Linked DNA regions of Notamacropus eugenii. The protein of the gene in region 3 interacts with the protein of the main gene of each other region in a pairwise test. Links are inferred from orthologs where the notes say so. Each region holds a gene or a part of one and is shown on either strand. Other genes may lie near its edges.

Region 1 (7,204 bases), on a different chromosome or scaffold from region 3:
CGGCCTTCCTAACCTCCCGGCGCGCCGAGTGACGCCACTTCCGCCATCTTTCCGTTTAGCTTCACTCTCGCCTGCGGCCATTGACTTATATAGCCATGTTCAGTGTGGGCAGTCATATCACTTCCGGAAACGCTCCCACGTGACTGGGAGTGGGCGGTGCTAGGGAGGTGTGTGGGCGGAGCTGGTAGCTAGCTTAGCTCTTGTGGTGCTGCAGCCTTGGTCTCTGGAGCGAGGCTTGAATAGCCGCTACTTGTGGCACTTGGGTCTTTCTGGAGAGGCGCGTGTTCACGGCACCCATTCCCATCAGTTGAGCGGGGCCCTTGTCACTCTGGGTGCACTTTGCCTGGGACTGTGGTTTTCAAACTTTTTGTTAGCCACACCCCTCCTAAAATGTCTTTATTACTACTCCACCCCCTCCTTTTTATAAAATAATCAGGTAAATAATTGCCATTGTAAAGGTTTTATGAAGATAAAATTAAGGAAAAAAGAAATCAAAAAGTTAAAAATCCCTAAGTAAACACTAACACATAAAAATAAATCCCATAAAAAGCGCGTAATTGCCTCAATTCAGGTTTTATACAAATAAAATTAAGAAATCACTGCTCCACCCCACTTCTTTTCATAGAATAAGCAACAAAACAGTTCTCTGTAGGTATCTGGGGGCAAAAGAGATGGGCTTGGCCCGGGCCTTTTGTTGGTAGTCAGCTTATCCAAGATCCCCAGAGTTTTCTACCCTGAGACCGCCAGCCAGTTCCAGTTTTACGTGCAAAGAAGCTAAAGGCTTCCTAAACTCACATGATCGTAGGCAAGCTTAGACACATCCACCTCAAAGTTAACGTTTGGTCACTTTGAAAAAGGCTGCCAGGGACCCGGTCAAACGCTCACGTGGCAGTGTTGGTGGATTGGGAAGAAAGAACATAACCTATTCCTCCACCATCTTCATGAAGAATCTAGAGATAGCTTATTACTTGTCCAATGGAAGAGTTGAAGCAAAGACACTGAAGCTGTTTCTTCTTTTAACTAATATGGTATCTCACCCCCTACTTCTGTCATGGTGGCATGGAGAGAACTAAGAAACCCTTCCAAGGTCATCCAGAATACCTAGTTATTTCAGTGCCAAGTTACTCCATGACCAGAAGTAGACCCCAAAGTTCCCCACTCTGGTCAACTAGAGGGCAGCTAGATGGTTCAGATGACAGGGCACCAGGCCTAGAGTCATGGAAACCTAATTTCAAATCTAGCCTCAGATACTAACTGTGTGACTCTGGACAAGTCACTTAACCTGGTTTGCCTCAGTTTCCTCATTTGTAAAATGAGCTGGAGAAGGAAATGGCAAATCATTTACCAAAAAACCCAAACAGGGTCATAAAGGGTCAGACACAACTGAAACTGCTGTCCAACAACTTGGTCAATCAGAAAGAAGGGCAGTTCTGAGGACTGTTCATGGGATAGCTCTAATTCAAATTTCCCTAGCCCCAAGTATTTATTGATAAACTCTTTTATATTTTGTATCCTTTACTCAGATCTCTCCCTCCCCTCAACATGGGAGTCAGTTTAAATTGACTAGATTCATCAAGGTAGGAGGGCTGACCTCAGATCAAGTCAGATTTCTCTATTGGTTTGCTCCCATTTAGAAATTTCCAGCAAAGCTAAGACTTGGATCATGTTTAGGGTCGTCTCTTGGTTATCAAATGTGGAACGGTTTTTGTATGTCCTTAATAGAAACTGAATATACACAAAGGACTCAGAGTTAGACATAAATAATAAAACACTCAAATATTCTATGAGAGATGATGTTTAAATCCTTGGGAACTGGTGAAATTACCAAGTTTCTATGCAGATGACTTGCAGACCTATATATCTAGTGCCATTCATTGCCCTGATCTCTGATCTTGCATTGCCAATAGCCTATTGAACATTGCTTTTAAAAAATTATATTTCCTTTTTTTTCAACAAGTAAAATTCCATCTTCTCTCCTTCTTTGAGGATGAAAGGAAGAAAGCTGTTACAAACAAGTTGTTACATGGTACAAACATGTAAAGTCAAACAAAACACATAGCTGTATGGGCCACATCCAAAAAACCTTTGTTTTATTCTGCACTCTGAGCCCTTCATCTCTCTATCAGAAAGTGAGGAGCATACGTAATTGTTAGTACTCTGGAATTGTAGTTGGTCATCACACTGATTAGCGTCCTTAATTCTTTCAAAGCTGTGTGTCTTTACCATGTTGTTGTCATTGTATGCTTCATCTATTCCAGGAATTCTGGTTAAATTTTTTTTTGGCCTATGCTGCATTTTTCTTTGTAGTTGTTTTGAGGTAATTTTCTTCTGAGTTTGTCTTCAGCATCCCTATCACCATAAAAACTCTTCATGATGGGATTTTTGTTTGTTTATTTTTCAAGCTTCCTTTCTGACTTTAGACTTAATTTTAGGGCCAAGATCTGTACACTTTTGGAGGGAATATCTGAGCTGCTTCTACTGCTACTTTCTTGGCATATTGAAATGTTGTGTTACTTCATAATCTCAGGAACAACTCAGGCTTGGAGTTTTCAATACTCCTAAAATTGTCTGATTCAGTGCAAAGTCTGATAGCTGCCTGCTTAGTCTGACCTCTGAAACTTCCTGGTGTGGGTAGTAGTAGATTACTGCTGGACTCAGCTATTATCAGCCATCTGAGAAATGCTGCTGGTTGAGAGTAACAGAATTGTAGGCTGGCCTTAGCTCTGGAATTCCTGCCTTGGTTATTACTCTGCAAGTTTCAGGGTGGGCTAGAAGCTAGAACTGAGACCCCTTTCTCCTCCTGGGATCTGAGCCACACTGCTGCTGCTTGCTTCTCATCTCTTTATACAATGTCCAGCTTCTCACCCTCCCCAGTTACCCCTTATAACCACTTTTTTAAAAGAGGAAAAGAAAAAAATTCAGCAAAATTGACATAAAAAAATCAGATATTTTATGTAATATTCTTCACTGATCAGTTACCCCAATGCAAAGGAATGTGTGTGGGGGGGGGGAGGGGGCAAGGAAATGCCTTTTTATATGTTCTTTTTGAAGCAAGGTTGGTCTTTATGATTTTGTACCAATATGGTAATTTTCACAAACTTTTTTAGAACTGGAAGGGACCCCAAAGATCATCTCTTCTCACCCTCCCCAGTTTCATGGAGGAGAAAATTGAGTCTGGGAGGAATTAAGCAAATCAATCCAAGGGCAAAGCTGGTACTTTATTTATTTTAGCTTTTACAAAAGAATATTTTTATGAAGAAGATATCGGAGAAATAAAAGCACAAACCCCTCCAAAACCAAAAGTACACTGTTCCGGACCAGCTCAGTCGCTGAAGAGTTATTAAACATTTTCCCCACCAAGTGCACTTTACTCGCAGAATACAATGTCTTGGCTGCCAGGCCATTCCATTGTTGGGTTGAGTGAAACAGACCAACCCTTAGTGCTGGCTCCTGATGAAAGCTGGTACTTTATCTATTTTTAAAATTTATTTATTTGTTTTTAGTCTTCAACATTCACTTCTATAAACTTTTGAGTTTTGAAAGCTGTAGTTTAACAGCAGGCTCCGAGCTGGATCTGGAGGCAGAGGGCCTGGGTTCGAATTTTGCCCTTCCTTACCAGTCAGACCCTGGGCAAGGCACTCTGGACCTCACATCTTCATCCAAGAATGGGGGGTGGGAGGGAACCTCTCCATCGTCTGGGTAACTCTCCAACACCGGAGACAGGTGAGAAGGTGCGATTGCGTCGGTAGAGGGAGCTTGCTCCTCCGGGAGCTCCCAGAGCCAGCGTCAGGAGAGGTCAGTAGGTGCCAGGGCTGAACCTTGAACCCGGGACTCCCTTTCTCCAAGGACAGCTCTTCAGCGGAGGCCTCTGGGCTTGTGCTTGTTAAGGGCAGCACTTGAACGCAGGACTCAGAGGTCGGTTCTGTATTTTTACATGGTTTGAGCTAGTAAAGCTTCCCAGAACAGGTAAGGCCAAACACCTGCTTCGAGCCCAGGACACTGGCGGTGAGTCTTCTCTAGCTCCGAAGGGAGATCCTCCCTGAACCCCTCCCTCTCACGTCCCCCCCCCCCCCCCCACACACACAGCAAGGAGCCCCAGACAGCGCTTCCGAACCGCAGGGGGCGACGTGCCCGCAGGAGCGGACCATAGAGTGTAGAGGAGCTAGAGCGGCTTTGCCGGAAGCGGAGCCGGGCGGGGGCGGGATCCGGAAGTAACTTAATTTCCGGCGTGGCAGCCATCTCTCGGTGAGACAGCAGCCAGAGGACCGTTCCTGCCGCCGCCGCCGCCACCGCTGCGGGATGTTGTCTGCTGCCCCCTTCGCCGCTGCGTACCCGGGGCTCGGGACGGAGCGGGAGCTGGAGCCTCATAGCAGCGCGGGCCCCGTGCAGCGCCGCTTCTCGCCCTACGCCTTCAACGGGGGGTAAGGGCTCGCTGGGCCTCCTGGCACCGCCGCATTCCTCAGTGGAGGCCGGGCTGCGGACCCGGCGTCGCTTTCACTTTCGATTCGCTCCGGCGCCCGGATCCTGAGCCCGATCCCCTTCCCCGGGGACTTCAGGCCTGCCTTCAGCTTCCCTCTGTGCCAGTCGGCCCACTGGCCTGCGTTCATTTGCAGAAGGTCGTGCCAGGCTTTGTCTGTGGCGCCGTCTGCCCCTGCTCCCCCTAAAGAAGCAGCTTGCGCGTGTACTTGGCCGTAGTCTGTAAGCTGGCTGGGAAGTCAGGATCCCTGGATTCTAGCTTTGACGCTCTGTCCATCCCCGCCCCATCCCCCACTCTGAGCGTCTGCAGCTGTGCATTGGGGGAGCCCCTCTCCAGACCCCCATGCATGCAATCTCGTATCCTCATCAGAAGGGTCTGTGATGCTTCAAATGGGTTAGCGTGTTTTATAACAGATTTTACACGTGCTACTTTTAACGGGAAAAGGATGGAGTGAGATTGTATGGCAAGGTTGGTGTCAGCGCTTTTAAAAGAATTGCAAGAACGATAGAATTTCAGAACTGGAAAGGACCGCTTCGTTATTGTGGTGCGTATTGCACGGTGGCCTGGTGTAGAGGAAGGGCTTCAGGCCTCTGACACCTATCAGCTGGGTGGCCCTGGGCAAGTCACTTAGCCAGTGCTTTAGGGGATTTTTAAGACCATACGTTCCAGTTGGTGGAGGGAGTTTCTTCATCCGAGACTTCCTATACCAATGAAGTCACAAGTGAAGAGTCCCTCTTTCTTTAAGGCTGCTAATTATAGCACTCATTATATTGCCCTTAAATACAATCTCTTTAAATCCAATTGGAAGCTTCAAGCTCCAGTAAATGTTATGTGTCTACATGCACTCATATATTTATAACTTACATAGGGTTGATGTGAAGTCTTACAAGGATCTATTGCCATGTTGTAGATACAGGAACTGAGCAGAGATGCTAAGGATTACTATGGTCACATGTCTAATAAAAAGGGAGTCCAAATATGAAGGAAGGTTCTCTGACTCAGCACTATTGCCACTATAACTGTGATATTCTATTTAGGGCTTGTACAGTTAATATAAAACATAAATCAAAGCAGTGGCTAAGCTTTTCATCCCGACAAGTTTCTGTGTGTATATTTTTCTCATTTTGTATGTCATCAGATATATATTTTTTCAGTCAGAAAAAATGAGTGTAATTAGGTCGTTAGGATTTTGAAAATATTGTTAAGTTTTTCTTGTGTATATTTTTTGTCCTTTTCATAACTGCAGTTCATTTTTTTTTGGTAGCAACATGGTACAGTAGAATCCAATACTAAATATCAAATATATTTGAATCCAATACCAAAAACCAGACTTATTTATATTAGAGGTCAGATTGTCTTCCCTGAATAATTGTATGTTTCAAATGAGATATAAAAGGGTCATAGGATTATAGATTTAAAATCAGAAGGAATGTTAGATACCGTGTAGTTCAACTCTGTCATTTTACAGATGCAGAAAACAAGACTGAAAGAGGTTAATCACTTGTCCATGGTCACAGAGGTAATAAGTGTCAGAGGTGAAATTTGAACCCAAGGTCTTTGAGACTCCAAGTGTAGCACATTCTATCCAGTAGGCTGACAGTTCTCAAAGTTTTTGGTGTCAGGATTCCTTTATGGTCTTAATTGTGGAAACTGCCTCCTCTTCCTCTCCCTTTCCTCCCAACTTTTATTTATGTGTTTTATTTACATGCACACAAACACACCCACCCACTCCCTCCTTCCCCCCTCCCCCCCACCTCTTGTCTAAAGAAAGTGGTTTTGGGCTGGCAGATTCGCTGAAAGTGTCTTGGGTAATCCTACAGGGGTTGTTGGATCACTCTTTTGAGAACCGCTGCATTAAACACCTCTGTTTCTAGATATTCTTTATGGTGACTGATAAACCTGCCCCCTAATATCAGCATTATAAAAGGATTCCAGTGTATTTCTTAAGGTCTGATATATTAACACTTTGCCATTTGATTTTCATAACTACTGCTCTTGAAGGCTATTAATGATCACTTAATTGTCAAATCCAATGATATTTTTTCAGCCTTCTTCTCCTTCATGCCACTGTTACATTGGATATACTGCTAGTCATCTTTTCTTTAAAACTCTACCCTTGGTCTCAGTGGCATTATTCTATTCAGTTATCCTTTCTGCTTTTTGGGCTATTCTGTCTCTGCTTTGTTTCTGTTCCCTAAGTTTGGGAATACCCCCTACCCTTCAGCTCAATTATTGATCCTTTCTACTCATTCTGTGTTCTCTTTATTAAGTTCATGAGTGTTGAATTAAGCCTTATGATAACATTATACAAACTTGTGCAACAACACATCTCTAAATACCTTAACTCTCCAACTGACTTGGTAACAGCACTACACTTTGCTTACTCTGCAAAGTAACTTTGAGCCTTATATTGTGATCAATTCTGAGGTACTCTTTAGTATGACTCAGATGTTTACAAACTCAAAATCCAACTCTGTGACTGAACTTTAGGCCTGTGTCTCTATTGTTCTTGATATTTGGGCATTTGACCAAAGGTTTTCTACACTGTAAAAGGGAGTAAGGGTTAGATAGACTTTATTTAGAATTATTATACAATGAAACAAAGCATAATGCTTGGCAGATAATAACTCCTTAATAAATGCTTGTTGCCTTTCACTGATAGGTTACTTTCATGGATAGAGCACCAGTGCAGGAGTCAGGAGGACCTGAGTTCAAATCTCACCTCAG
Region 2 (7,649 bases), on a different chromosome or scaffold from region 3:
GACTCGTGTGATACATAGGCCCGAGGCAAGACTTATATGAGGAACCCAGCCAGAAGAACAACTAACTACAAGAGCCACTGTCCTCTCCCTTTCCCATTCCCAGCCTCTGCTGTCCAGAGTAGATAAGACAAATACCCACTCCACCCCAACACCAACAAACCCCAAGACCGTGGCAGCAGATGGATCAGTTTGAGGCTCAATAAATGTTGTGACTCATTATAACGACATGCTAAAGATGCCTAAAATGTGCATGCCAAAAACTACTTATGTTGCTTTCCAATACAAATGAGGTAGCTGCCCCCACATAGGTTCAAAATGGGTGAGGCTCTATTTCCAAATGACTGACTCAGATAAGCCATGGTAGAGCACCTTAAAATCATTTAGGCTATGACTGAAACTGATTAGCATTCACCAGAATGAATCCTAAGGTTCCTGAGTCCTGCTTCCCCCCACCCCTTCTGTTAGCTTGAAGAAAATCAGGCTTGTAACAAAAACAAGGTAACGAGTAAATTTGGCATCTAGAAGACCAATAACAGCAAGTGAAGGTTTTTATCTTGCCAATGTCCCGGCTTTACTCATTATATAACCAGCTTTCTTTCCCTATGTACAGAACTGGCTCTGGACTCAGAGTTCTAGCTCCAGAGGCTGCGAGGGACCTCAGAGGCCAACAAGTGTAACCCTCTCATTTTACAGAGGAGGAAGCTGAGGCCCAGGGAAGATGAAGTGACCTGTCCAAGGTGACCCAGAGAGTCCTTGGAACTATGCATTCATACATATATACATAATCACACAGCTTTCATACCGATCTCTTCCTCCCTCCCCCAACACACACACCTTCCACCTCACAAATACACCCATCCACACACAAACCAAGGAAAGACACTCAAAAGAAGAGTAGAATGGGAGGGAAAGGATCAATGGGCTAGGTGGAGAGGGGAAAACTCTGGGTGAGTGGAAGAGTCCAAACATGGAACGACCTCAGAGGCTGTTGAGTTCAAATGCCTCATTTTACAGAGGGAGAAACTGAAACCTAGGCAGGGGAAGGGACTGGACCAAGGTCACACAGGTAATAAAGCATTAGAGTAAGAATTTAATCCCAGGTCCTCCATCTTGTGAAGGAATCGATACACTAATTCTGGAGTCAGAATACTTATATTCAAATCATACCTGTGATGCTATTTAAGACCTTGAGCAAGTCACTTCATCGATTTGGGTCTCAGTTGTAAAATGAAAGGGATATTGGAGATGAGCCCTGAGGCCCCTTTCAGTTTGAGATTAAGGATCCTGAGTGGAAACCCAATTTTCTGTCCTTTGAAGCAGACTGTTTCTTCAAGAATAAAGTTAAATTTCACAATATTGGGGCAAAAATGATTATCCCACTATATAAATGGGTATCCTAGAAAAGAAAGGTCTCAACAACTGCCCCGAGGTCACAAAGCAAAAATGGCATCCCAACTGGGATGAAATCTCTTATTTTCTCACCTTTCAGACCTGAATGACAACCTGGAAAACAGACTCCAGGTAACAAATCGGGGGCACTTTACATCATATTTTTCTAATAAACTAATTGGTCAGCCTGTGAGTCATGGAGGAGCCAATAACTGCTGATCCCCTTTGAAAATTTGCTAAGGAATCGGGCAGCAGAGGCTTAGGGTGGGAGAGGGAAAGGAAGCTTGAAGGCTGAAATCACCAGCTGCAGGAAAGACACTGCTCCTACCCCCCCCTCACCCCTACCCACACTCAGCCCCCGGCAGAGGGACAAAGCCATAAAAGAACCCTCCCTGGGCCAGTCACCCCTCCTCCATAGGGGAACACTGGGTAGAGGAAAAGGTGGAATAGGTAGTCTTCTCAGCTCAGCTGGGTCACCATTGGAATAAGAGCCAATAGAATGCATGCATGCATGCATGCATGCATACATACATACATACATACATAATCCCACTGCTTTCATATAGATCTTCCCCCCACCCCCCCAACACACACACCTTCCTCCTCACAAATACACCCATCCACACATGAACCAAGGAAAGACACTGAAAAGAGAAGGTAGAATGGGAGGGAAAGGATAAATGGGCTAGGTGGAGAGGGGAAAACTCTGGGTGAGTGGAAGAGCAAAAACTTCAGTCTCACAGAGGGCCATCCGCGGGAAATAGAGAAGGAAGGGCTCAAGTGGCCAGGCCCAAAGGGCCAGGCCCAGCCACTCCCGCCCCCCCTTCCACCCTGCCATCTTCAAGGTCCCCTTCCTGGCCAGCCACAGAGCGCCCCCCTTCCCCGGGCCGCCCCCCTAACCCCCCCTTCCTCCCCCAGCCAGTGCGCCATCGCCTGATGCTGGGATGGGCAGGGCAGGGCAGGGCCGGGACGGCAGGACAGGCAGAGCGGCCGGCAGGACAAGGTGCGGGGTAGGACTAGGCGGAAGAGTGAGGGGGGAACGTCAAGGCGAACGCGCCCAAGCAAGCCCCGAGGGGGCGTGCCCTCTGCCGGCCGCGTTGGCCACCCTAAGGAATGGAAGCAGGAGCCGGGCACAAGCGGGCACGCCGGGCGCACGCTGGCCTCCTTCCCTACCCTTCCCTCTGACTCGCCCGGCTGCCGCCACGGCCAAAGCTCCCGCCGCCGCCGCCGCCGCCCATCGGGGCGAAGTTGGGCAAGGGTGCCCCTGTCTCCAGGCGGGCCAGAGCGCCTTCCCAGCCGGCCGGCCGGCCGCCCACCCACGGGGCTCACCTGCAGGCGCTCCAGCGCCTCTCCTTGCCTTCCCCCCTTTGCCCATTCCCCGGGCGCCCCTAGCTCGCTTCCTTCCCTGCCAGGAGCCAGAGCAGGAGCGGGAGCGCTCCGCCAGCCCAGGGCGAGCCAGGGCGCGGAGAGCAGCCGGGCAGCGCAGAGCCGCCGCAAAGCGCCGAGAGCAGCCCGGCAGCTGGGCAGGGACCCAGCGACTGAGAGCGGCGGGCAGCCGCGGGCTCAGGCCCGGCCGGCCAGGGCGCTCCCCTACGTACCAGCTGATTCCAGCAGCCTGGCCTCCTCCGTCCTGTCATCTTGAAAGAAGAGACCCACTGAGCCGGGTGGAGGGAGAGGGAGCGTGCGGGTGTCTGTGCGCGCGCCCCGGCCCGGGGGAGGGCGGAGGAGAGCGTGCGTGCGCGCGCGCGCCTCTGCAGGCTTTGGAAAGACACAGTCCTGGACAGCCTCGGCAGCGTGCGAAATGCGGACGGAGGCAGAAATGTGTGCAAACTCCTTCCTGTTCCACCGTCCCCCCCATCCACCCCCGCCCCCCCCACTCTGTCGTTCCCTCCTCCTGATCCCCAGCCGCCCCGCCTGTTCCCAACGCAAACAGACCAACCACAACAGCCGGCGACACTTGTTGTCTGCCCAAGGAAAGGCCAGCTCTCCAGGGCCACCCACGTCCACAGACGAAGGCGCTCTACGCAAACCACCCCGGAGCAAAACAGAAATCAAGGACTGCGCAGACAGGGGCAAAGAATGGCAGGAAACCCAACCCAGCCCCGTCGTTATCTTTTCACAAAGGGAGAATGGTACTGAGTGGACTGTTGGCCCGGGGCCGAGCTGGTGGACAAGGAGCGGAGTCACACAAGGGCAATCGCTGTCTTCCACCATGAAACCAACCGAGCTGTTACCATGGGTACAACTGGGCAGGTGCAGCTAGATATTCTGGTGTAACAGGTGTCCAATACAGGCTGATAACAGCCAAGATCCCTGGCTCAGAGGACCTCTCCCCGCCACCCCCAAGTTCAAATACCACCCGGCACTACTTATGCAAGTCACTCTACCTCCTTGGGTCTCAGTTTCCTGTAAAATGGAGAAGAATGTGGAGGCAGTTGAAATAGATTGCCTCTGAGGTCCCTTCCAGATCTAAATCTATCTAAGCCTAAATCGGTGACCAGCCGTTCCCCATCTACCACAGTACTTGGGATGAGTCCTTTGTCCATCACCCAACACTCTATCCTTTACTGTTAGGAGTGGACTTCTCACCTCAATCCTGATTCTTACTCAATGCCACACCTGTGCTTTCCAAAGACAGCATCTTTCAGTCACTCAGACCTCAAGGCCATGGTTAAACAGTTTAATTACATTGGTAAAAAGTGTGGTCAACATCCAAGAAACAATGAGCACATATCATAAAATGTGCCAATCCACTCACCTACAAACTCTGATTCTCCAAGGCAAAGGGGAAAAAAAAATCCTCCCAGTCTGGACTCGATTTCCTCCCTCTTCAGCATCCCAAGGATAGTACAGGTCTGACTTCACAGCTTCCCAAGAATTGTTGTAGGGATATTCAAGGTTCCCTGGGTCATAGTTGCATAGACAAAGTCTTCTATCTACAATTTAAAGCCCTTCCAACTGTGGCCTCCTCCCACCTTTCCAATCTTTTTCACCTCCATGCATTGATCCAGCTACACCAGCCTCCTGACTATTCCATGCACATGAAATGCCACCTCCCAACTCCATGGAAGATGGTCTTTTGACTGGCCATCCCCCATTTCTTCAACAGTCTACCCCCAATCTCTGCCTCTTACCTTTCCTGGCCTCCTCCAAGACTCAATTCAACTTTTTACTTCTCTCACTGCCAGTACCTTCCCCCAGGAGATTCCTTCCCCTCTACTTGGTATATTTTAAATGCAAAGTTATTTGCATGTAGTCTCCCCCATTCAAATTGAGATCCTTGAAGACAGAGACAGTATTTTTGCCTTTTCTATGTTATCACCAACACTTAGCACATTCCTGGGTGCATACATGCACTTTCAGCATTGACTGACCAGCTCCAGGACCTCCTGGCTAACATTGCTCTGTCCCACCAGAGTTCCTTGACCCCCGTACGAGTGCCAACACTCACTTTCTTCCTCATCCATCACCACAGGGTCCAGCTAACCCAACCCCCAATGGGCAACAGGTAGTTTTCATGTAGTGTCTTTTCAAGGCCTCTCCATTTTCTGGGGCTATTTTGTTGCCTGATCTTTCAGCTTCTAGGAATAGGAGAGCTTTCCATCTCTCCTGTGTGTTCTCTGCCCTCCAAGATTCCTGAGCAGAGCTCTATCCTCTTGCTGGCTGACTATGAATTCAAGCATCCTCACAGCACTTGTTCCTTTTAGGGCTCCTGGGAGCTCAGGCCAGAATGAGGAAGTAGGCTTCTTTCAGAGGATCTTCCAGCCAAGCAATAGATTCAATCTCTCGTGCTTCTATGCCTTCTCCATTATCCCAGTCTCCAAAGAAGAAAGAAACAGGCAAATGGGGATTTGGCCCAAACATCCACAAACACAGAGTTAAAGGCTGGGGGGCCATTTTTGGTACCCCATGTACTAGGAATGTACTGCAGACTTCATTGACCTCTCAATGTCTCTACTTGGGTCACACCAAATCCTTACAAGGAAACCAAACACAGAGAAAAGCTTGAACACCTCTTGGCAAAACTGTAAAAACTTTCTGGTTCATGGTCAGATGCCTTTTACAAGAGGCCTTTCCCAGTCCCCAATGCTTCCTCAATAAAGTTATTTCCATCTACTTTGTATGTAATAAACATATACTTACAGTGTTGATGTACATGTCTTCCTCATCAGAATATAGAATCCTTGAGGCCGGTGTTGTTGTTCAGTTGCTTTTCAGTCATATTCAACTCTTCGTGACCCTGTTTGGGATTTTCTGGGCACACATCCTGGAGTGGCTTGCCACTTTCTTCTCCAGCTCATTTTATAGATGTGGAAACTGAGGCAAACAGAGTGAAGTGATTTGCCCTGGGAAGAGATCTCAGCAACCATCTAGTGCAACCTACCCATGAGGAATTCCCTCTATAACATACTTGACTGGGGTTGTCCAACCCTGTTGGGATACCTCCAGTAGGGGTACCCCATTGCACTTTGGGAAGGTTTTCCTGACACTGAGCCTAAATTCACCTCTTTGCAAGGTTTACCTTGCAAGATTCCTGGTTCTGACCTCTGAGCCTAAACACATAACAATCATGTTCTCCTTGAGTCTTCTTTTCTCTAAACAGAATGTTGCCAATTCCTTCAACTGTTTTTCATATCTTGGATGCAAGGCCCTTCACCATTGTCCCCACCCTTCCCTGGGTGTTCCCTCATTGATTGGTGTTCTTCTCAAACTATGCTGGCCAGAAATTAACATCATGCTCCACATGTAGTTGGAGCAGGGTAGAAGACAGAGGAGGAGTGTGTTGTTTTCTCTTTGCTTCTACGAATAAGTGTTTCAGAAGTTAGCAGGGTATAGTCAAAATGGAAACAAACTCCAGAGCCCTGAGTTCTAATTCTGGTTCTATATGTACAATTCTACAAGGAACTATATATAAAACACATGTCACTTCACTATTCCAACACTTGACCATTAAGACATCATTAGTAACTTTGGAGAAGGCAGTGTTGAATGAATGATTTGTTTGAAAACTGGATGATAGATAGTTCAGAAGAGAGTCACAAGTAAGGAAGTGGAAGTGCTGACTGTTGATAGCTTCATTAAGGTCACAAAAAGGAATGAGACATCAAGTTACAGTTCTATACCAGGGAATGGATGGATCAATTAAGGGGTTTTTTTTTTTGAGGATGAGGGAGATATGGTCATGTTTGGAGGCAGTAGGGAAGCTGGTAGGAGAAGATCATTGAGAGATTGGGGATGATAGGGCATTCTGCTGGAGAAGATGGGATAGAAAAGAACCAGTTGAACATGTAGAAGAGTTTGCTTTGGCAAGGAAAAGGGCCATCTCATTCATCACATAAGGCCTAAGTGAAAGAAAAGATAATGGCAGAGAGCATTTTGGTGACATGAGATGAAGAGGGAAGAAACTCTCAGCAACTGGTCTTCATATTTTCAGTAAAATAGGAGGTGGGGTTCTGAGCTAAGATGATGGGGGGGAGCCAAGATCTGCCTAGCCATTGACTGACTAGTCAATAAACATTTATTAAGCACCTACTATGTATCAGGAACTCTGATAAACCATAGGAGATTTGAGGAGGGATGAAAAGGTTGGAAGAACCACTTTCATGAGTAGGATAATGAGTTTATTTGAGAAGATTGACTTACAGCAGTGAGGTTACTTGAGGTTATATAACATTTGAGGTTATGCAACATAAATTTGTAATGGACCCAGTTAGTGGTTTCATGATTTTCTCTACCTTTGTTCTGTAGCATATAAGTAGGAGCAAAAGCAACAGATGCTGGACGTGATCCAAAACTGAGGCTCATAGAGTAATATTGGAAATATAAAAAAAGAGGGTTAAGGACTCCAAGGAAGAGAACAGAGTAGAGTTGAACTGGTTCACTAAGGGGTCAAGATAGGGAAGGGAAAAGAGTATAGCTGGAGTAGGGATGATGGCCTGAGAAAGAACTGAAGGGTTGAGAGATTGGAAGTGATGGCATGAACTAAGAACAAGGTTTGGGGTTGCGAAGAAGGAGAAGGGGGATGACTATAGACTGTGATCAGATAAAGGAATTTCAGTACTCATGAATAAAAGATGTGCCACACTTGTGAGTGATGGCAAGATCAAGGGTATGACCATCTCTGTATATGGCTATGGTGGGGTGGAGGAGTAGTTCATAGGAAATGAGTGAGTTAAGGAACTGAGAGAGCAAATTGTTTTTGTCTTATGACCACTGTTTATGGTGGGCTTTGGGGCAGCCCTTAAACCCTGCCCCTGCTC
Region 3 (7,896 bases):
AAAGTCCTAGTAGTGGGGAAGGGGGATGGGAGAGGCCCCTTGCAGAAGGGAAGATTGGAGATGGGTCTTGAAGAGAGCCAGGGGGCATAAATGAGGAGGGACTGCATTCCAAGCAAGGGGGAAAGCTGGATAAAAGCAAGTTAGTGGGAGGTGGAATATCACATATGAGCAACAACCGGGAGACCAGTGTTGACAGAATGGTAGATTATGTAGAGGAGAATGGAGGCTAAGAAGACTGGGAAAGGTGAGCTTAATAGATGCTTGTTGACTGATCAACTTTCTGAATGGAATAATTTGTCAATGATACAAAATACCATTACGATCATAAATCTTGAAGAACAGACCATAAGGAAACATCCTAATTATTAATTAATTAAGTGTCTCTGACTGTACATATCCTGTATATACTTTCTGTGTTGGGAAATACTAGGGTGGGGTTCTGGTGGTACAAAGATGGCCAAGGAAAGGTGATTTAATGTGGATACAGTACGAATACATACTGTATTATAACACATGACAGGTCAGAATATGATAATCAGTCAATCAACCAGGTATCTATTATATACTTGGCACTGTGCTGTGTGTGATAAATGCAAACCAAAGAGAAACATATAAAATTCTCTGAGAAATTCTGGAAGGGGAAATCTCTTTGACTGAAGGGACCTGGGCAGAGTCCATGGAAGACTCTGGGTAGTCTCCCTTGCGTTGGGCCTTGAGGGGAGATAAGAGTTTTAATCCAAGGCAAAACTGTAAATTGTCACTAAAAGCAGATTGGTTAAAAATATCTTCAGCTAGATTTGAGCAGCAGATGGAGAGGAATGAATGCGAAAGAAAGAAAGAATGAGGAACTAACATTCATTAAATAATGGGTGTCATTGGTATGAACACTGCATTACAAATCATTCTGGGGAAAGGAAAGAAGGGCACGGAAATGCTGAGGGTTAGCACCGAGATTACTGCTCAGATTTTCCTTGGGAGGAGTATGATTCCGAATGGCCAAGAAAGGAAAATAGACTGGTTGAGTTACTTACTTTTCTAGCCTGTATTCTCCGCCCCAGATTATCTTTGTTAAATCTTTTTATTACTCATTGCTTAAAGCACCTATCTACATGAATGCACGCTTTGGCATTCCTTTCATTTTTCTCTCTGGGAACTGATAAAAACCAAGGTCGGTTGACCTTCAATATTATATCTGCCAGTTAGCTCCTGTTCCTAAGACTCCACTGTCAAGGCACATCTTTGGAGCCTCCAGATAGAAGGGCCACAGAGCTGGGAAAAGTAGAGATTTCCCGTTGAAACAGAGAGCTCAGTGGGCAAATGAACTGTATGTTTTACAGCAAACAGAAGTGTTTACTCACGAAGAGGGGGTACATGAGGCAATGAACTTGATATATTTCAAGTGAAAGTGGTTAAGTTTTTGGACATAAATTATTTGGAACATGACCTCAATTCTCCATTTTGCAAATATATATTTATATATTCTGGTCTTCCTGACTCCAGGTCCGGTCTTCTATCTGCTGTGCCCCTCAGCTGCCTGTGTGATGACCCACTCAAACTTCAGACCTCTCCCACTTAGGGATGAACTAATCTATTAACTACATGAGGGCATCATGTCTATGAATGGGAGGGGTGGCAATGAGGAAAAGTGAGCATTGGCATCCTGTGAACCAGGTCTTCTGAACTGCCCCAAATAGAATTCTTGGCTCTAGCAACATGTGCCCTGGGATTTGCCATGTTCTTCCAAGGTAATTATAAGGAAGAGGACAAGTTCCACCCCCATCCCCAACATGTCCATTAGTGAGATGCCTGGTGTAGTGATGGCCATTAGGTTATACTTTCTAGTGAAGCTCACCTCCAGAAAAATACAGACAAAAAGTAAAACGTGTGAAATATCTCTTTTCAGCATTTCCAACCAGATTCCATCTTAATTTGGATTCAGAAAATGCTTTTCCCTCCCCCTTCCTTGTCTTTCTTTTCCTTTCTACCTAGCTTCTTAAAAACTCTTTGATACTAATAATAGTAGAAATGCTATCCGAATAAATTTCAAACCTCCCAAATACAGCTAGGTCTTTAGTGCTGGACTTTAAAGATAACTCCCCAAAGTACCAGGTCCAGTTCTTTCAATCACACCAGCCAAGGGCTCCTTCCATAAAGCTTTACTCTCAGAAAGCATGGCACCTAATAAAAAGAGATACAAAACAAAAAGGAGGGGTGTCATGGAGCAATGGATGGAAATGGCCTCAGACACAGGAAGATATACCGACTTTGGGACTCAGGACAATTCTCTTGGCTCCTCAGAGGTCTGGCTAACTCTCAACTGCTAAGACGGTGAAGACCTGCATTGGCAGAGGAATTCCCTATCAGGGGATCCTTCTAGAACAAAAAACTCACCTAATTTGAACCTTCTGGACCAGAGTTCTTAAATTTGTGTGTCTGTTTGTGTGTGTGTGTGTGTGTGTGTGTGTGTGTGAGAGAGAGAGAGAGAGAAAGAGAGAGAGAGAGAGAGAGAGAGAGAGAGAGAGAGAGAGAGAGAGAGAGAGAGAAAACAAGAGAGAGAGAGAGAATGAGGAAACAAAGAGAGGGAGGAAGGGAGAGAGAGGTGGGTCCCTTTGGCAGTCTAGTGTAGCCTATGGACTCTTCAGAGTAAGTTTTTAAATGTTTAAAATAAAATACATAGGATTACAAAGGAAAAAAAATTTTTTAAAAAGAAAATGTATGAGATTCCTTACAATATTTCAGTCATTGTGGCTTAAAAATCCATGACTCAGTGGCAACCTCAGAGAATTTAGCTATCTGGGTCCTCAGATGAGAATCATGCAGTCTATTGTTAGGCCTGTACTTGTACCATTTCTACCTTTAGTGGACTTGCAGGAGTTGGTGGATAGTTCCTTGTCATTGTCTGTGAGAAGTCAGAGTCATCTGTGGGTCCTGATCAGACCTGGTGGGAGAACTTTTGTGGAGGATCCTCAGCAATAAGTGTTTTGAGTCCACTCCCAGTCTACTAGACTGGCTCAAATGTTTTACTGTGATGTGGAGGTGACCAGGAGTTCCCAAAGATTACAGATGCCTGAGCAGATGCTACCATTTGAAAAAGACTTTGAATGGGAGCCCAAAGGACTGAAGATACTGTGGGCCACTTACCTCCTGCCAGAGAGGGGTTGGATTTAAAATGTGTTGCTGTTCAGTTGTGTCTGACTCTTTGTGATCCCACTGGGGGTTTTCTTGGCAAAGATACTAGGATGGTTTGCCATTTTCTCCTCCTTCTCATTTTATAGATGAGGAAACCAAGACAAACAGAGTGAAATGGCTTGCCCAGGGTCGCATAGCTAGGAAGTATCTGAGGTCAGATTTGAACTTAGAGGAGTCTCCCTGACTTCAGGCCAGGCACTCTATCCATTGGGCCACAGAGTGCCCCATTTAAAATATACAATGAGCCATATCTTTTAGGACTTGGTTAACATGAGGATTTGTTTTTGCAGATTGTGTATATTTATGATAGGTTTTATTTTTCCTTTTTAACTGTCCAGTTGCGGGGTGAGGGGGACAGTGGGAAAGAAAGATATTAGCTGTATGTGAAAATAGATAAATAATTCTTTTAAAAAATTGGAGACTGTCTGTCTCTTGTATCTGAGAGCAACCTAGCTAAATCTGGAGAGCCCATCTCTGAGTTGGAGGTAGGCTGAAACATTTTTTGGTCTTTGAAACTCTCAAAGCTCACTTACTAAGTTTCAGAGGAGGTGTAATCTGTCAGAAGAGCGAATGCTCATGAACCTGCAAATGCTGGACATTTGGTACCTCCTCTTCAAGTATATTTACTATGTTTTCTAAATAGACAAATTATGTTCCATTTGAGAAAACAGAGGCTCTGATGGCTAAAATAATTTGCAGTCTAGGCAGGACTTTGCTTTGATCAAGATTCTTGACTTTCAGCCCAGGGCCCAAATCCAGACAATTCTCTCTCCTACCAAGCAGCAGCAGCAGCAGCAGCAGCAGCAGCAGCAGCAGCAGCGGACAAAACCAGCCTTGAAGTGGGTGACTCTCAGCATCTTCTAGGTCTTTTATTCTGTCTTCTATACCTGGCAAGCAAAGAGGGGACACTAGGCCCATCCCTCCCCCCCCCCCCCCCCACTCTATCTCCAGTAGAATCATCATTCAGGCTACATGTGAAGTCTCTTTCTTCTCCTCCTTCCACACCCCAGAGGGGAAATATTGCTGCTCTCTCCAGAATAAAATGCCGGCACTGTTTAGGAGACAAAGAACAATGGCTCCCTGAGTTGGGGCTCCTAAGGTCAGCTGTCATTCTTGTCTCCTGGGTTTAAGGTCCTCCTAATCCCTTCCTTCTGCCGCAGATTTAGTCTGGGGGCTTGATAAGGGGAATAGCTGCTCTTGGGACCCCTCGGCTGGTCCAGGAGTGGTTGGGGGTCAGTCCTCCCCCTTTTCCCTTTAGAGGTCAAAGGGGCTTGTGTCTTTCTTCCTTACCTGCTCTGACGCCTTGGCACGAGTTTGGTTCGGGGGTTGGGGGGGTGGGTGGGGGCACCGAGGAGAAGGGGACGTTCTGAGAATCAGCCCTGCTCTGTGCGTGTGTGCACGCGTCCATACGAGTGTGCATGGGTGTGCACTCATGTGCCTGCGTGAGCGCGCATGCAGGCACTTGTGTGCCCGCTACTCCGGCCCCGTACCTGGTGGGAGGGCTCCTGGACGACCCAAGGAGCCCCCCAGCTCCCCTGTCTAGCTCTTCTCCCCAGCCTCTGGCTGCTTGCCCGCCTCCAGCACCGAAGAATGTCTCCAAGTGTTGAGAGCCGGTTACCATGGGAACCAGCAGCCGTTCGAGTTAATCATTTCCTGTGGAAAGTGTAAGGGGGTGGGGTGGGGGGGGAGGTCAGAGACGACAGTGTGACATTCCAGCTTCGTACCGGGCGGCCGGGCGGCCACGGGGATGCCAGAGCGGGCAGTGCCCTGTAGCTCCTCCCCAGGGGGCAGGGGAGCTGCCACCCCGGAGGGACCCCGGGCTGGGCAGCGGGGACCAGGTGAGTCACTGGCCCTGATGCCTCCGCCTTTGGGGGGGAGGGGAGTGGGACGTGGGCCCCCCAGCTCCATCTGGAAGCCCACCTTCAGGCTTTTCCAGTCTCCAGCTCGGCTCCCGCTCAGCTCTCTCTTCTCACGCCGGAGGGGCTACGCCTGGGGATCCCTTTCCCTTGCCCAGTTTTGCATCCCCAGGACACCCCGCTCTGGCTGCCAGAGATCCCCCTTAGGGGATCCCGGTCCGGCACACCCGGGTGCTGGAGGGAGGTAGCTGCAGCGGCCTGAGACTGGAGGGGCTTCGGGGGGCGGGGGAAGGGATGTGCTTTGAAAACAACCCCGAGATAAGTCTCCCCTGGATTTTCCTGGCTGCAAGCTTAGGGCTGCAGTTGGGCAGAGAGGGGCGGGGCTCATTTCTGCTTTAAAGCCTTCTCTACCGAGATTCCAAGGTTTAAATTCCCTTACTGGATTGAGTCGGGCGGACTAGCCTGGTCTCTGTGTACCTTGGGGGTGGGGAGAGGTGGGGATCGATAACTGAGACCCTCCTGGGTGATCTGAGTGGAAGAGTGAGGCAGCCTGCCTCTGGGGGGTGGGGGGTGCACACCTCCAAATGAGGCTCTGATGGACTTGGAGAAATACTGGTGCTGAGCTGGGGGCTCCGCATTCTCAGCTCCCTGTCCATCCCGGGGACGCGTTGAAGAGGGGTCCCAGGCAGACGACGTGTTTCGATTTTCTTGGGCAGCTACCAGGACGGAGGCTAGTTATTAAGGTTTAAATGCAAGAGGGCCAGGTGAAGAGTCTTCTGGGAGACTGTTTTCAAAGGAGGGGATCTGTCCGTTTGGAATTTATGCAGGCAGATGCCTTGCGATCGGGGGTCTCCTTTCTGCCTAGTCCCGTCTGTCTTTTGTAAGACTGCATTTTCTCCACCATATATCTCCATCCCCTCCTTTCCACTCCCACCGAAACCACCCCAGTTTAGGCCCTTATTTCTTCTGTCTAAACTATTATAATAATCTCCTGGTTTCCATTCTTCTAATCTTCTCCAAACTGTCCCACTAATTCCACTGCCCACCTGATATGTGCCTTTGCCCATAGCAGTTTCTCTACTCAAAAAACTTCAGTGGCTATCAGAGCATAAATTCCTTACCTTGGCATTCAAAGCCTCCATAATCTGGCTCCCATCTACCCTTCCAGCATTATCTTAAATGAATGTTGTTTGATCTTTATTCATGTACTGTGTTCCAGTCCAGTTGAATTTCTCTAGGTCTCTTTATAAATTTTGTTTTCTCCCATTTCTGTTCCTTTGCTTTCCCCATCTCCCATATCTGGACTCTTCCTCCTCTCTTGCCCATCTTTGGAATTGCATTTCTTTCTTCAAGGACCTGCCCCGTGTCACCTCTTCCAGGAAACCTTCCTTACCTGGCCCTAACCAGGTGAAGGGGATCTTTTTCTGGCCTCTCCTTCACACTACACAGAATCCAAGGAGTTTAGAGATAGAGGCAGTCCACTGAGTCCACCATGTACCTGAGAATCCTTCCTGCAGCAAAAGGTCTTCCGCGACCTTTAAGGTCCAAAGATTTCTATTCGGGGAGAACCTATTCCCACCCAACCCAGCCCATCCATTCTTGGATAGTCCTAACTAGGAAGTTTTGTCCTTATATGAAGCCTAAATCTGCCTCTTTCCACACACTGTGCCCCCATTTTTGCCCTCTGGGGCCAAGTAGACCAAGCTGAATCCTTCTTTTCATAGCTGGCCTTCAGATACTTGAAAAAGAGCCATTGCTTTGCCACTGAGTCTTCCCCTTCTCTAGCCTAAACACTCCCAGTTCCTTCAGCTGATCCTTATATGGTATATATACTCAAGGTCCTCTCAGAATGCCTTCCTGATTACCAATGGCCTTACCAAAGTCTGGCACCCAGAACTGAACCCAACTCCACAAACGTGGACTAGCCAGGTCAAAGTACTTAATATACTGTAGTTTTATCACAGCTTTTCATTTCTGCAGATTTTCTTCTCATTAGATTGTAACCTCAGAAGCAGGTTACATAGTTTGTCCGTCTTTGTGGTGTCTAACACGTTGAATAATAATATCCTAATAATAATATAAACTGGCATTAATATAGCATGTTAAGGTTTTGCAAAGTGCTATACGTGATATGTTGTTTGATTCTTACCACAACCCTGTGAGGTAGGTGCTGTTATTGTAATACATTTTGCAGGTGAGGAAACAGGCACAAAAAGTGACTCGCCCAGAGTCATACATCCATACATGAGGTATTTAACTTGTAGAATTGTTTGTCAATAGTATTTTTCTAACACTCGTCTAGACCTTTTCCTTGACCAGATGGACAGAGTCAGTATATTGAAGTCCGTATTTCAGATCTCGGCTTCCTAAGACAGGAGCATTAGACCAAAGTACATTCTCTACCCTCCCCCAACCCTTCCCCCACAGCCCAGCTTATCAGTACCTTAAGCTCAAGGAGTACATACTCTTGCAACCTGCTCGTCAGTAGCTGGTCTTTTATTGTGTCCTTGAAATAGGCCAGGCTAGTGGCTCTCTGAGGCTAATTGGAAACAAGGCCGTGGGTTGGCTCTATGGCTTGGCCAGCCTACCCTGACCTCCACAGCGCCCCATCCGCATGCTGAATACAGATTGCTGCCTTGGGCTGCCTCTGATAGGAATCTCTCTAGTCCCTTCTCCTCCAACCAGATTTGGGATCCGCCTATGTTTAGGGGCACATTCACACCCATGTTGGTTAGGTTTCTGGCCCGGTACTTGTCTTAGGCTGAAAGTTGGTCCAGGACATCATTAAGCTAAAAAGGTCTAGGAAGGTTGTTGGGTAGGGGACGGTCTTGTTCTCTTGGCTCAAAACTTT

What was found.
Region 1: the proteins of KIFC3 (region 3) and PSMB1 interact in binary tests that used the Homo sapiens proteins (3 or more experiments, as listed by UniProt). The two-hybrid records come from large-scale screens. The link is inferred for Notamacropus eugenii from reciprocal best matches to the Homo sapiens genes KIFC3 and PSMB1.
Region 2: the proteins of KIFC3 (region 3) and MID2 interact in binary tests that used the Homo sapiens proteins (3 or more experiments, as listed by UniProt). The two-hybrid records come from large-scale screens. The link is inferred for Notamacropus eugenii from reciprocal best matches to the Homo sapiens genes KIFC3 and MID2.

Annotation. Positions count from the first base shown.
Region 1 is NC_092873.1:267,358,222-267,365,425, reverse strand, and holds the start of PSMB1 (proteasome subunit beta type-1), read left to right. Parts: upstream 1-4,110; 5' UTR 4,111-4,299; coding exon 4,300-4,421; intron 4,422-7,204. UniProt on the Homo sapiens protein: Non-catalytic component of the 20S core proteasome complex involved in the proteolytic degradation of most intracellular proteins. This complex plays numerous essential roles within the cell by associating with different regulatory particles.
Region 2 is NC_092879.1:28,910,102-28,917,750, reverse strand, and holds the start of MID2 (probable E3 ubiquitin-protein ligase MID2), read right to left. Parts: upstream 3,095-7,649; 5' UTR 2,988-3,094; intron 1-2,987. UniProt on the Homo sapiens protein: E3 ubiquitin ligase that plays a role in microtubule stabilization. Mediates the 'Lys-48'-linked polyubiquitination of LRRK2 to drive its localization to microtubules and its proteasomal degradation in neurons.
Region 3 is NC_092872.1:716,303,773-716,311,668, forward strand, and holds the start of KIFC3 (kinesin-like protein KIFC3), read left to right. Parts: upstream 1-4,888; 5' UTR 4,889-5,027; intron 5,028-5,623; exon of another isoform or gene 5,624-5,776; intron 5,777-7,896. Other genes in the region: uncharacterized protein, read right to left, coding at 2,107-2,178, 3,966-4,076, 4,480-4,810. UniProt on the Homo sapiens protein: Minus-end microtubule-dependent motor protein. Involved in apically targeted transport. Required for zonula adherens maintenance.